2 linked regions of the Caenorhabditis elegans genome follow. The protein of the gene in region 2 interacts with the protein of the main gene of each other region in a pairwise test. Each region holds a gene or a part of one and is shown on either strand. Other genes may lie near its edges.

What was found.
Region 1: the proteins of T04F3.1 (region 2) and kin-2 interact in a two-hybrid assay, tested with the Caenorhabditis elegans proteins (one large-scale study listed by BioGRID).

The regions. Positions count from the first base shown.
Region 1 is NC_003284.9:5,971,730-5,979,769, forward strand, and holds the start of kin-2 (cAMP-dependent protein kinase regulatory subunit), read right to left. Parts: upstream 6,126-8,040; coding exon 6,005-6,125; intron 5,946-6,004; coding exon 5,863-5,945; intron 5,083-5,862; exon of another isoform or gene 4,944-5,082; intron 2,555-4,943; exon of another isoform or gene 2,533-2,554; coding exon of another isoform or gene 2,455-2,532; intron 2,183-2,454; exon of another isoform or gene 2,067-2,182; intron 1,940-2,066; exon of another isoform or gene 1,805-1,939; intron 1,476-1,804; coding exon 1,269-1,475; intron 1,205-1,268; coding exon 1,091-1,204; intron 1,045-1,090; coding exon 931-1,044; intron 887-930; coding exon 772-886; intron 706-771; coding exon 502-705; intron 139-501; coding exon 1-138. UniProt on the Caenorhabditis elegans protein: Controls the rhythmic contraction of enteric muscles probably by regulating G-protein coupled receptor aex-2-mediated calcium influx in GABAergic DVB neurons.
Region 2 is NC_003283.11:11,738,266-11,743,190, reverse strand, and holds the start of T04F3.1 (Aminotransferase class I/classII large domain-containing protein), read right to left. Parts: upstream 3,127-4,925; 5' UTR 2,962-3,126; coding exon 2,803-2,961; intron 2,342-2,802; coding exon 2,243-2,341; intron 1,796-2,242; exon of another isoform or gene 1,711-1,795; intron 1,357-1,710; coding exon 1,087-1,356; intron 1,043-1,086; coding exon 753-1,042; intron 556-752; coding exon 1-555.

The sequences.
Region 1 (8,040 bases), on a different chromosome or scaffold from region 2:
AAACGTCTCTCTTCAGGATCTCACGAACTGGTCCCATGACACGTTCGAAGCGGTTACGATCCAGCTTGATGCACTTGAGATGGGTTTTGGCAACAACGGTGGCGGCACGTGGGCGGTCGAGAAGAAGAGCGATTTCTCCTGAAATTGTGACATTGAAATAAAGCTTTCATTCAGGCGTCGACAAGGGTCGCGACCCACGCCTACTGATTAGTGCGGTTCAAAAATCAAAACGTGTCGGGCTCTGGTGCAAACACCAGGGTTTTGATTTAACACCAAAATGCAAAGCGACGTCATTCCCTGAAACCGCGCCTGCATTTCATGAAAAGCCTACATTGATATATGAAGTGTCACAAAAATCTTGTCTAGAGTTATATTTCAATAAAAAAAATGTTTGCATTTATTGAATCACCCGCATATTGCCAAATACAATTAGTTTTTTGATCTTTCCATGTTTGTTCATTTTTTTTCCAATTTTTCTCTTTTTTTCTGATTATTGCTCACCGAAATAGTCCGACATTCCAAGATGTCCGACAACGTCGAATGGTGCGTCGTCGCTTCTCTTCTGCAACACATTGGCTTCTCCCTCGAGAATGATGAAGAATTCGTCTCCGGGTTGTCCTTGCTCGACGACATGAGTTCCTGGCTCGAAGTCGCATCTCTCAAGAGCATCAGCCACGTTAGCGCGCTCCCACTGGTCGAGATCGGCTGAAAGATGATTGATGAGTCTCGGCTTAAGTTCATTTTTCTTCTCTGGTTCTTCAATTTACTTACCCAAGATTTGAACCTTGGAGAGGAACTCGTCATACATCTTTCTCTTCTTTGTTACTGATCCCATCAAGATACGACGGTAGGTGAGACGGTCGATGGCCCACAATTTCACGTCGGTCTGGAAGAAAATATATAAAATGAATTTGAGTGGCATTTTGCCACCTTGGCAATGACGGTTGCAGCACGTGGAGTTCCATAGATCAAAGCAAGTTCTCCAAATGATCCACCCTCGTTGATGGTGAGAACGTACTCGTGATTGACGTAGACATCAACGGTCTTAAATATGAAAGTACGGATAAGCTCTTAGAGAGAAGCAACTCACTCCCTTATCAATAACATAGAAGTTATCTCCTTCTTCTCCCTGTTCGATGATGGTCTCTCCAGCAGACTTCTCAACTGGGAACATGGCATCGTACATGGTTTTTTGCTCATCCTCCTAAAAACCAAAAAATTGAATAAAAATTTAATGTTATTAGAAATTTTTTTGGGAATTTATTCACCTCCAAATGAGCAAAGAGCAAGTTCTTCCTCATGGCTGACTCAAGCGACCTTCTTGTAGCATCATCCTTTGGAATCACAACCTTCTTGTACTCGGTATCGTCCTCCTTGATTGGTTCGGCAGAGATTCCGGTTCTGCGTCCACCTGATCTCTTTGGTGGCTCCACAATGATGTCGTCATCATCAGCAGCGTCCGGATTTCCTCCTTCCTGAAATGTTAAGATTTGATAAGGAAAGTTTGAAAATAAAAGATGTGCAAAATAACAAACCATTTTGGAATTTTCCTGTTTCAGTTAGTTCAGCGACGGAAAAAATGAATGAAAAATCAAAATATAAAATGACCAGAACCAGTTCAGTCAATTACTGACCCTCTGCTATTTTTTTTTTGTTTCGACAAAACGTTAACCTTGAGGTTGGAAATTGTAAATCGGGAATCGTATTAAGTGGGCCACCAGGTAATGTAAATTATGTTACGCCGCAAACTTACTTGTTTCTGTTTAGCAACAGGGCAACCGTCTCCGCCTGTCTATTTGCGCAATAAAAACAACACAGCAGAAAGTAAATACACCCACTCGCTCACTCACCCGGTACATGTTCAACTCCATTTTTAAGGTGTGAACCACTGAATTGAAAATGGATTGGAAGAATTTTTCAATGGAAAGAAGCAAGAAGAAAAACGCAAGGAAATATGAAGTGCGGTGCACACTGAGCCAATCTATCGCCGAGCGAGCTGCCGCGCCGTCTAATGTGCTTCAAATGCGTACTCGTAGCTCTCGCAAGTCTCTTCGTCCTACAATTTTGCTAGTGCTCCATCAAGGTTCCAGCGCTTCCCCTTTTTTCATTTCATTCCACGCCGCTCATCATTCATCCGTCGTGACTGAGATTCGATCATACTAGCAGACACCTGGTTACTTTTGTTTCTGTTGTGCAAAACAATTTCTTATTTTTGAGGTCTCCCTTTATTTTTGTTTTTTTTTATTTCTAGAAGTTTGCAGAATCCGTTTAAAATTGCCTAAAAAGATCAGGTTTTGAACAGTTCAAATTTCTAACTTGATTTTTTCAAGAAATTTTATTAAATGTGATGTTTGAAAACATAGAAGCCATTCTAATCAGAGAATTAATTCGAACTACGCATGAAATCCAAAAATCCATAAGAAAAAAGTGATTATCCTCTCAAAAAACTATCACCTTAGGCTTTGGAGTCTTTGCGTTTTTTGTGGCGCCCACAGATTGCGAGTTTCGTCGGTTGCTCAATTGCTGCCCCATCACATTCCTTGGTGGTGATACTCTGACAATATTGATTAATAACTTGGTTAAAAGAATAAGAAAAAGTCTATGTAGGTGAAAAAAGAGGAATGTAACGGCAATTTTCTAAGAAGCAGATGTTTTGGAATAAAACATATCCATGGAAACCAGAGTTGTGGTGAGCAGTCAAATAAATATTTGAAAAAACAAACACTATGACTATTGTAAATGAAGGAACACGTCAGGAGGCAAATAAGGCAATTGTGTGTGCGTCGAACTTTCAACTACAACAACTATGACAAAACATTGAGTAGTATGTTGTAGTTGGAGGTAGAATGAGAAGGCTAAAAACAAGACGAAAATCAAAATCGGACCGGGTTTCCACATGAGACCTAATTGAAGGCGTGTGAATGTTTTTCTTGCTGTGGTAGCGCAAAATGAACGAAACAGAAAGAGGGAGAGGAAAGGACGGAAGAGGAAAAAGTAAGAATGTCAATATCTGAAAGAGCTTTGCCAGTTGTATTTAGTAGGTGGAGGGCACAACGACTTCATGCATTTTTGTCTCAAGCAACCGGCAATTTACTATAGCAGCCGCAACATTTAGACAGAAAATAAATAGTCTCGAATTGTTCCTCTATTCTTACTCATGTTGTTTTATGAAACAACAAAAAAAAATTCAATTTCAGTATTTCTAAGAGTAACTATTTAATTTCTGATTTGTCGCATCGAAGTTAATTTACGATGAGTGTATTGTGCTCACAGAGAGTATTATGCACACATTGAGAAATATCCAATAAATGACAAATTCCCTATCTTAAAAATCTGCCACGTTATTCTTAGAATTCATAAAAGTTTCTGTGGTACAGAAAATAAAAATCAGCTGATTTTATAGAAAATGACACAATGATAACGTTCGAGGCATTTTTTACGTGGAGAAAAACAAAGAGAATGGTATGACTAATATTTCAATTCGTTTGAAAAAAAAACCCATTTTACTAGTTTTCGAACATATTCAATAAAACCTCGTAAAAAACGAGCTATTTATTCGAATAGTTTTTCTCTCAAAAATCAATAAAGTCATTTAGCATCAGAAAAGCGTGACTCTTTTCATTCTCTCCATTTAACTTGGCATCGTTCTCTATCTCTGAGGCGGTCATAAAAACACTCGGCCGGATAGAAGCTGCCTTCGGGGCAAATTTTATTCGATTATTGAATTTGACAGACAAATATAACGAAAACGAGGCGGAGAGAAGATAGAAAATATCGGAGTATGCACTTCCTAGTTTTTCGAAAATAAAAGTTGTAAAACTTTAAAAATGAAAAAAAAATTGTGTATCAGCATTTGCCAAAAAATTTTCATAAACGAGTGTTTAAAATAAACTATTTTTCTGGGGAAGCGGTTGGAAAGAAGAGAGAACATAAAAGATCGATAAACGTCCGAACAGTATGCAAAAGAAATATGTTGAGAGACGCAGGAAATGGAAGGTACGCACACTTTATGGTCCTTTAGTGAATGGCATTGGCAAATTTAGTATGTTAAATTTCAAAACTTAGTTTTCCATTTCAAAATTAATATTTCTATTTACAATTTCAAAAAAAAATACAAACGTTCAAATTTTTCAATAGAAATTTAAACACACTTTTTTAATGACCACATTCCAAAAAACCGCCCCAATTCGATTTTGATAAGCTGTGTCTAAAACTGAAACACATGTGTACAAAAAAAGACATAAAAATTGGAGTGTGAAAAGTGGACTCGAGTGTTTTAGTTTTATTGTGTTTTTTTGAATGTTCCCAAATTGAAATTCTAGAGCTCCGAACTTTTTGTGTTGTTTTTCATCATATATATATATATATATATATAATCGTTTCGAGAACCTTTTCAGAATGTTGCAAGTAACGATGACGTCATAAAAAGTTTGTAATACCTTATATTTCCTGGATTATGACTAATGTTGTTTTTTGTTTGAAGCGTTTAAAATTTGTGACAGAAAAAAAAGCAAAATGTTTTGGAATTTTAAAAATTAGGTGTCAGAGAAAAAAAAAGGTTAAATCTAGAATTTCACATCTTCAAAGAACGTGACAATGATGTTTGGTTCGTCGTCACTGTTACTGTTTCCTCTTCCCTTTCTTTCACCTGACCTCCTAAAGATTTATGACTAGTCTTTTGACTTTTGTTATTTTTGTGAAAATACTACCTACTTCAATTATTTTCGAAACAAAAATTCCAGACACAAAATGCGAGGGTGTTGAAAAAACAACGGAGAACAAAAAGCATGGAGCATTAAGGAGCGGCAGAAGGAGAAGAAAAATGCGATCGTCCGAAGAGCAACGAAGAGCAAGAGAAATCTGCCCCGAGGCCTTCTTCATTCTTCGTCACTTTCTCTCCGCTTCACAAACCGGACCCGAAAAAAAGGGAAAAGAGCTCGGCAGCTGAGCCAATGGCTGCGGGCGCTCGATGCTCGATGGACAGCTCTGGAGGGCTCATTGGGACTCGTCTCAAAGGGCCCATTCTCTCAATTCTCTTCGTTTTCGTTACGCCTTATCCGCTCTCTTTCATCCTTTCGTTTTCCCAGCTAACTAGTGCCTCTTTTTCTTCTTCCTCTTCTTCTTTTTCTTCTCTTTCTCCAGAGGACCCCGACGGAAAAACGACATACACAAGGCTTGCTTTCTATGAAAAAAAGAAGCAACACAAGACGAAAAAAAAAACGAAGTGAAGCTTCATTTTCATTGATTCGAGCCATAAACGCGGAGGAATGACGAAAAAGACACAGGAAGATGTTTGACCTAATTTGCATTTTCCAGTTTTTTCTCAAGCTTTTTTTTGCAGTGCATCTCATTAAAAACAAGATCGAAACAAAAAATCATGACGCTTGGCTCCCACAAAACCGGATAAAATATTCAAATATTTGAAGCGAGTCAAACGAGATTTTCGATGCCTCAAAAACTTGGTACTATGAATGAGAATAAAATAACAAATTTCACTGATCTAGAACAATGATATAATTATAAAGCTATGTGAATTTCAAATTTGAAAGTCTGAAACCGAGTTTCATGGTTCAGAAAACACGAACAATTAAATAAAAATCCTGAAGAATTGTAAAACCCCCATCACAAATTGTACTCAAAACGTTATAATACGCTTATGCAACACTACGTTTTCCGATAAGAAGAACCGTTTCAAAACGCAACAATTAACTTTTTTGGCGTACCACGTCAATACTCTTTCAGTGTCAGCAAATTTGAATACTTTTTCTGGTCATAATTTCGAACTGGTTCTGTCATTCTTCTCACTTTTATGTTGAAAATATTTTTTTTTTCAATTTCTAAATTCTCTGCAACTCAACTAACCTGTGCTCGTTGTTCGTTGAGTTTTTCAAAATGATCCTTCAAGAAGAGAACCGGGTTGTCGGGTTTGTGTATGCACAGAACAACTGGAAAAATCGTATTCTTACTTTCGTGTTATTATTTTGCTAGATTTTCAAAAACTCACCAATTGCTTCTTTGACAAGCTGCTGAATGTTGTGTCGTTGCACATAGGCCTGGCATTGTGCCAACTGATCCTCTTCGTTTCCACCCGACATAAAAACAATGTCACCTGAATAATTGTTCATAATTTTCAGTCATTTCTTGTTTTAAACAAACAAAAGAGACAAAAATGCGAGAAAAATAGCAGAAAACACACGTTTGAAATGAGATGAAAACTTGGTGGGGAAGGTAACAGACTTTTGACGGGGGATGCCGCGGAAAAGAGCGAGATGAGCGGTTACCGAATGAATGCTGATACACCCGCCAGTGTACAACATTTTGGAAAATCTTGGCACACAGCCTTCCCAGTAGATCAAAGCAGAATTGAGCAGCAAAAAAAGGAAGAAAAAGTGGAGAAGAAGGAAAAAACAGAGAGGAGGAGCAAGAAAAGAAAATTGATACCCAAACTTGGTTGAGCGAGAGAACGAGAAAAGAGAGAAAAGAAAAAGAGAAAAAGAGAAAAATCAGATAATTGATTTGTTGAAATTTGAAGACAAGTTCAGTTCATCACTTTGATCACACAGATGGTCGGAAAGTAAATATGATGATTGATGGTGATAATTAGCAGAATGAAAAACGTCGTCGCGCAAGTACTGAGACCGGAAACTATAATTTAAAGATAAAGGGAATTTCCTCTTTTGATAGGAGATCAACGGTTACAATATGTCGCGGAAACGGACGAATTTGATTTGAGATTTTTTTGTTTAATTCATATAGAGTTACAAGCAGCTACAAATGTATAGAAATAATTTTGATGTATACGGTTTTGAATTGTTTGCATGTATAGACTCGAAATGTACTCAAATGAACTTCTCAAAAAATAAATAAGCTATTCCGTTCGAGGGGGCGTTTAAAATTTGGGAAACACTTTTCTGCGTTGCAAATTAACTGCATTAAAGTATCATTTGTATTGCATATTTTTATAATTTATCTCACGTTTTTTTGTTAATAAGGGTGCATTTAAAGTTGATAGGTTACCAAACATAATTGAAATTCAGTACTTATCGGCTTTTAACACACTTGAATCAACTAAATAATGTGAACCAAACAATCAATAAAAATGATAATTCCATTAAAAAATATATATATAATTTTCATTCTCTGCAACTTGGAAACTTTAGCAAAACTGGTGAATCTATCAATTGTTGGTCTTTTTTGAATTTCGAATGCTAATTCGAGCCCATTTTAAGTACAAGCAAAAAACAGCAATTATTTGTTGTTCAAACCCTATTTTTTAGAAAATGCATTTAATACCTACGAATGCTAACTTTTCTCTCGCCTCTTCCCCCTCCCTATGCGGTTTCTAGGCGGGTTTGTAAACCTTTTTGCATGCGAGAGAAACAAGTGATGATAATAAACTAAACTAAACGTTCAGAAATCAATATCACAATGTGAAAATGTGAAAATGACCTATCGATGAAATCGAGGGTGTCTTCATGTTATCGCCCAATTACAACGGGGCATTTCCCCTCGGACTCTTGCTCTACACCACCCGTGGCCTTTGGTCTTTGGCATATGACGTAAATTGAAATAGGAACAGGGAGAACTGAACAATATTTTTTATCCTATTGCATGCTGGTAATCAAGTTAGCATACCAGCCGACTCTCAGCTTATCTTTAATCCATATAGGCTAATCTGTCGGATTTTTGGTACAAAAATGTAAAAGTTTTGTTGGATAAAAAGCAACGTTTCTATATTATACGGAACGCATCAAACGGGACAAAAAACTGAGAAATCGCGAAAAAGCAAAGCAAAAAGGAGAAGGAGCCCTATGAATCATGGAAGAAGCGTGAGGAGACAGAGGCAGGGACAACGACAACGACGACGCCCGGGGAAATTGTTTTTTTTTTTCGGCGTCTTCTTCGTGGAGCGCCCACCCGTTTTTTAGGTCTCAGGAGACCCTCTGCCTGTGACAGAAAAGAGGAATGTTTGAATTAGGTAGTTTTATAAGAAACCGCCCAGCGCCCATAAATTCTTTCTTTTAATCACTTCTCAATCAA
Region 2 (4,925 bases):
TCTTCGCCTACACTTCCAACGACTGGATGCCTACTTTCCGGTTCTGAAACTCTTATCGGACCGATTACGTTGACCTGAATATGATTGACCCGATGATTTCCTGGAGGTGAACTCCTTGCCCGTGGAATTGTAGAAAATCTTGACTCGTATGAAGTATCTGTACACGAATCATTCATAGATATAGATGTAATTCCTGCAGTTAAATTTCGACCTTCAACATTATCATTCATAGAAACTGATGTATTTCCTGGTTCAGGAGATTTTACAGTAACTCTTCGACTCTTCTCAGTACTTGATTGCTCTTGAATAACTTCGTCATCATCTCGATAATAATGCAATGATTCTTCTCTTCCTAATCGTTTTCTTGGTGGAGCAATCGGTGACATTGTTGGAGATGAATTCTGAAGAGGATCAGCTGAGCGAGAACGTCGTGTGACAGCATCTCTATAAATTATAACACTTCCAGAATCACTTGAATCATCATCTGCTCCTTTTGTTTCTTCGTCCACAAATTTCCGGTAATACAGTGTATGAACTTCTGGTTTTGCGGAGCTTCTGGAAGTAAAACCATTATTGTTTAAGAGTTTATTTTAAGCTTTGCAAGTAAGTTTTAAGATAATTTCAGTATTAACAGACTTCGTAAAATGTTTTGAGGATCTATCAATGATTTTGCCACAAAAAAACCGATAACAATGTTTCTTGTAACCCGAGGTCCAGATAGAAAAAAAATCTTAAAGATGATTTAAATTTACCTCTTTGAATGAGTACTATGAGCACTGCTACTTCTTCTTGTAGTTGTCACATTCTCTGTTTCAGTTACAGAAGTCTTTGTAGTAGTCGACACTCTTTTCCTTAAATCCGCAAAGCGACGCCTTGTACCATTATTTCCATTTGCTTTCTGTTCTGTTCTTTCTGATTTCTTTTCAGATGTCTCTCTAAGAATTGGATGTCTAAACTCTAAATCTATGATATTATCACTAGACCGGTTGAAAAGTGTACTATTGGCTGATGGAGGTTGACGAGATTTTGTTGAGCTCTCCATCTAAAATTATAATAAATTATTAACCATTCTAACTTGGTTCTTACTTTTGTGTTAATCACGTCTTCATATACAAATTTATTTGTTTGGTGTTTCTTTTGAGTGCAATTGAATGGTTTATGTGTTTCTTGAATACGAATTACGGTCCCTTTTCCCAAGTCTTCTCCGTTGTCTGATCTGTCCAACTCTTCACAAGAATGCCATTTCTCGTGTAAATGTTTTATGGAAACGTTAACCGGATGAGGTCCAGCCGGCGAAACGTTTGTCACTTTAACTTCACACGAAGACGGATGCTTGTCTGGTGCTCCGTTGACTATCTGAATTAAAATTATTTTTTACATTTCGCCTTTCAAACACCTATTTTATGAATTATTTTCAACAATCACAATACATATGATAGGAGAAGAAAATGAAGGTCAAAATGAAAATAATTTTGTTAACTGCGATAAGTTCATGTTATTCCGACCAGCGAAAACAAGTTGTTTAGAATCTTTGTTATGAGTTTCGTATTAATCGAAATTTCGTCATCGAAATTTTATAAAATTCTAGTTTTTTTATTGTTTGATTTTTCAGACGCTTTATAGAAATCAATGTGAACAATCAGTCTACTGAATGTTTAATTTTTGAAATGCTAGCTTTCAGTATTAATTTCTTTTCTTCGAAAATCGAAAGAATCTTAAAGTCGGAAGTTCCGTAAAATAGTTTTTTTTGGAAACTTTCATAGAACCTTCTCATATTTTATTACTTTGTTGCAATTTCCTATAATCTCATATTACTTTTTCTTTCATCCCTTTCAATACATTCCACAAAAATCTGAAAGTGAAATGAAAAGTTATTCAAAGAAACCGAGAAGAAAAAGTGTGTTGCGCAGGTATAGTGATCAGTTTGAGGGTGAAAGTTCAGTAGTCGGTTCTTGATTGGTTTTGAAGATAGTAGTGAATTGAAAAGAATTATGATGATGATGGGGTATCAAGATGTGAAAATATGAATTGAAAGTGTGGAAGTTGGTTTTTGCAGGTGTTGGAACAAAATTGAAAAGAATCGACATGGTAGATTATTATGAAAACGAAGAACTTGACAAAGGATGGTAAATAAAAGAAGAAAGAGAAGAATCAGACAAACAATGTCACTGATCATTAATTGATTGATTATTACCTGACTTTTGAGAGAAGAAACTCGAAAAGAAACAAAAAAAAAACAAACCTCAGTGACAGTGACAGTTTTCGTGATTTCAACAAATTTTTCTCTTCGACGTGGCATCAGATTCTGATAATCGTGTGTCAGAATGTTGCGTAGAAACTTCTAAAAAATGAATATTTAATGTCAATAAGTTTCTATTTTTAATTAAAAGTTGTACTGTCACTTGCAGATCATTTTCTATAACATATGGCAACGCTTGAAAAAATTCAGTGCAAGCCATCAAAAAACCTATCTGTGCCTATGAGACAAAAACTACGAGGTTAAATTTTCAGCAGATCCCAAATTCTCACGAGTGGCAGTTTACTTTACGCTAAATTTGAATGTACTTTTAAGTAAGAGTTCTATTTTAGGTACAAACTTCTGAAGGAAGCTATAGTTTTAATGAATAAAGTTTGCTCCTTTATTTTCAAAAAATGTTGTACATTGCTAAAAATGCATTTGCGAGAAAAAAAAACGTTTCGACTTCACAAAATCAAACCTTTTTTTAAAGAAACACGGAACCAAAAGAACTTTTGTTAATCACAGCTTGACTGAATACTGTACTCATGAAAACCCTCTCTTACCTCAGAAAATGACTCGTGATCGTCGGACAACTGATGACTCAAAAACGGAGCGTCGTCGAGTTGCTCGTCATCAGAATTGAGTGATGGCGGTGAATCTGCTGAGAAGTTGCCACCGTCTTCGACGTTCTTGGACAATGATGTCGGAGCTGCGATCATCATAATTTCAACGATGCCATTCAAGAGTAAATTGAATAAAGAATATAAAGAGAGTAGAAGCAGACAACGGGGTGAATGAAAAGGTAGAGATGAGATATAGGAAATGCGCGGAAGAAGTGTATCAGCACGTACTACTCACTCCCACCCATCACACTGATTAACAATGATATCTGTTATCGTCTTCTTGTCTTTCTTTTTTTTGAAGCGATATGCTTGCGGGTTGTCACACCTATTTCAAGAACGCGCATCGCATCACGACGTCAGTTTGGTTTTTGGTTTATCGTCTGAGGTCGATAGTTTTTGATTGGATTAGAAAATGGATTAGAGGATAGTTTAAACTAGAAACCAAACAGATATAGTATCGAAGGATACGGAAAAGAGTTTTCAATAGTACAAAAATTAATTACAAAAAAAAATAAAACTGTCAAAAAAAAAACACTAAAAATTGATAGAATTTTATATACAGTGAAATTAACAATTAACAGAAGTTAACAAATAATATATTTTTTCAAAGATTCACTCACTATCAGAACTTCTCGAAAGACTCATGGGAAGATCTCATATATAAAACATATTAATTTCGAAAGTACTGATTATTTTCAATTTTTTGATGTTTTTTTGTAGGTTTTCAATGACTTTATAAGTGTTTAAGAGCATGAAAAACATCTGGATCTATTTTTTTGTAATTTATAATTTGTTGAAAAATTATCTCAACCAAAAATTAGATCAAAAATTGTTTTTGATTTCTAAAAATCTCCCAGAGAATTTGCTGATCCCTAAACATTCGTACAACTATCAAAATTCTAATCTTCAAAAAATCAGGTACAATTAAAACTGTTCCTTGTGAAGTCAATAATAATTGAGAGAAAAACGACGTTCTGTAATATGTTCAAAAAATTGAATCGATTGTGTGTTTGTACTGGCAATGAAAAATATGAAAAATCAGTTTGCATAAATTCCAATACGAACCACACAAAAGACGATGAGAAAATGTTGACGTGGAATCCCAAAAAAATCGGTTTTTTTTCAGCGAAAAGTGAACAAAACATGTTCACACCATTTAGCTGAATACATGTAATAGAGAAAACAAAACAGAGATTTGTTGGCAAAGTCGCCATTGGAAGCCGATCAAGTACATGTTCATGTTTGCCTACTGTTACTAGATGTTTTATTGTTTACATCTTACTTATTTGTTTTTTGAATTATCGAGAGAAACATTAAAACGCGAAAAAACAATCAGACTAAAACAGTACAATAAAAGTTCAAGTATCGCAACAATGTCTGAACGATTAGGAGATGAAAGTGACCGACAGAGATGGGAAGGAATGTTGACTTGTTTAAAATAGTTTAAAACAAGAAACAGGTTGCAGAAAGTTAGAAATACGGGGTCGAATAACACAATGAAAAGCAGAAAAAAGGTACTCGAAAAACGATAAAAAAAAGTACGAGAGGAAATAGGTGGGCACGGGGGAAAGTGGGAGGAAAGGCTAATTAAACGGAAAAGGGGCAAGCAAAAGTCGAAATATGGTTACGGTTGATGGAAAGAAGGATTCAATTACTACGTACAATTGACCAAATTGATAATTGACGAACTTTTAAAAATTTTGTTTACTTTTTGTTTATGTTGTATTGTGTTGAAAACTAAATTGTGCCGAATTATACGCATCATTTTGAAAAAGGTAACTCTCTGCCAATTTTAAGTTCTTGAAAGTCATCTATCATCTAATTTGAACGGTTTTATTTATGTAAGCCAAGTCAGTAAGAAAGTGAGTTTAAAAAATAGATAATACAAAAAATAAATATGAAAAATAAATACAAAACCAAGATTTTGGCGAGTTTGTGGTTTCTTACAATAAATTCTTGATAGATTAACAGATACCTTCAAAAACAAATCAATGGTTGAAATACTAATTTTTAACGAAACCAGGAATTCCTACAACTGTCAAAATTAAACTGGCACATGGGAA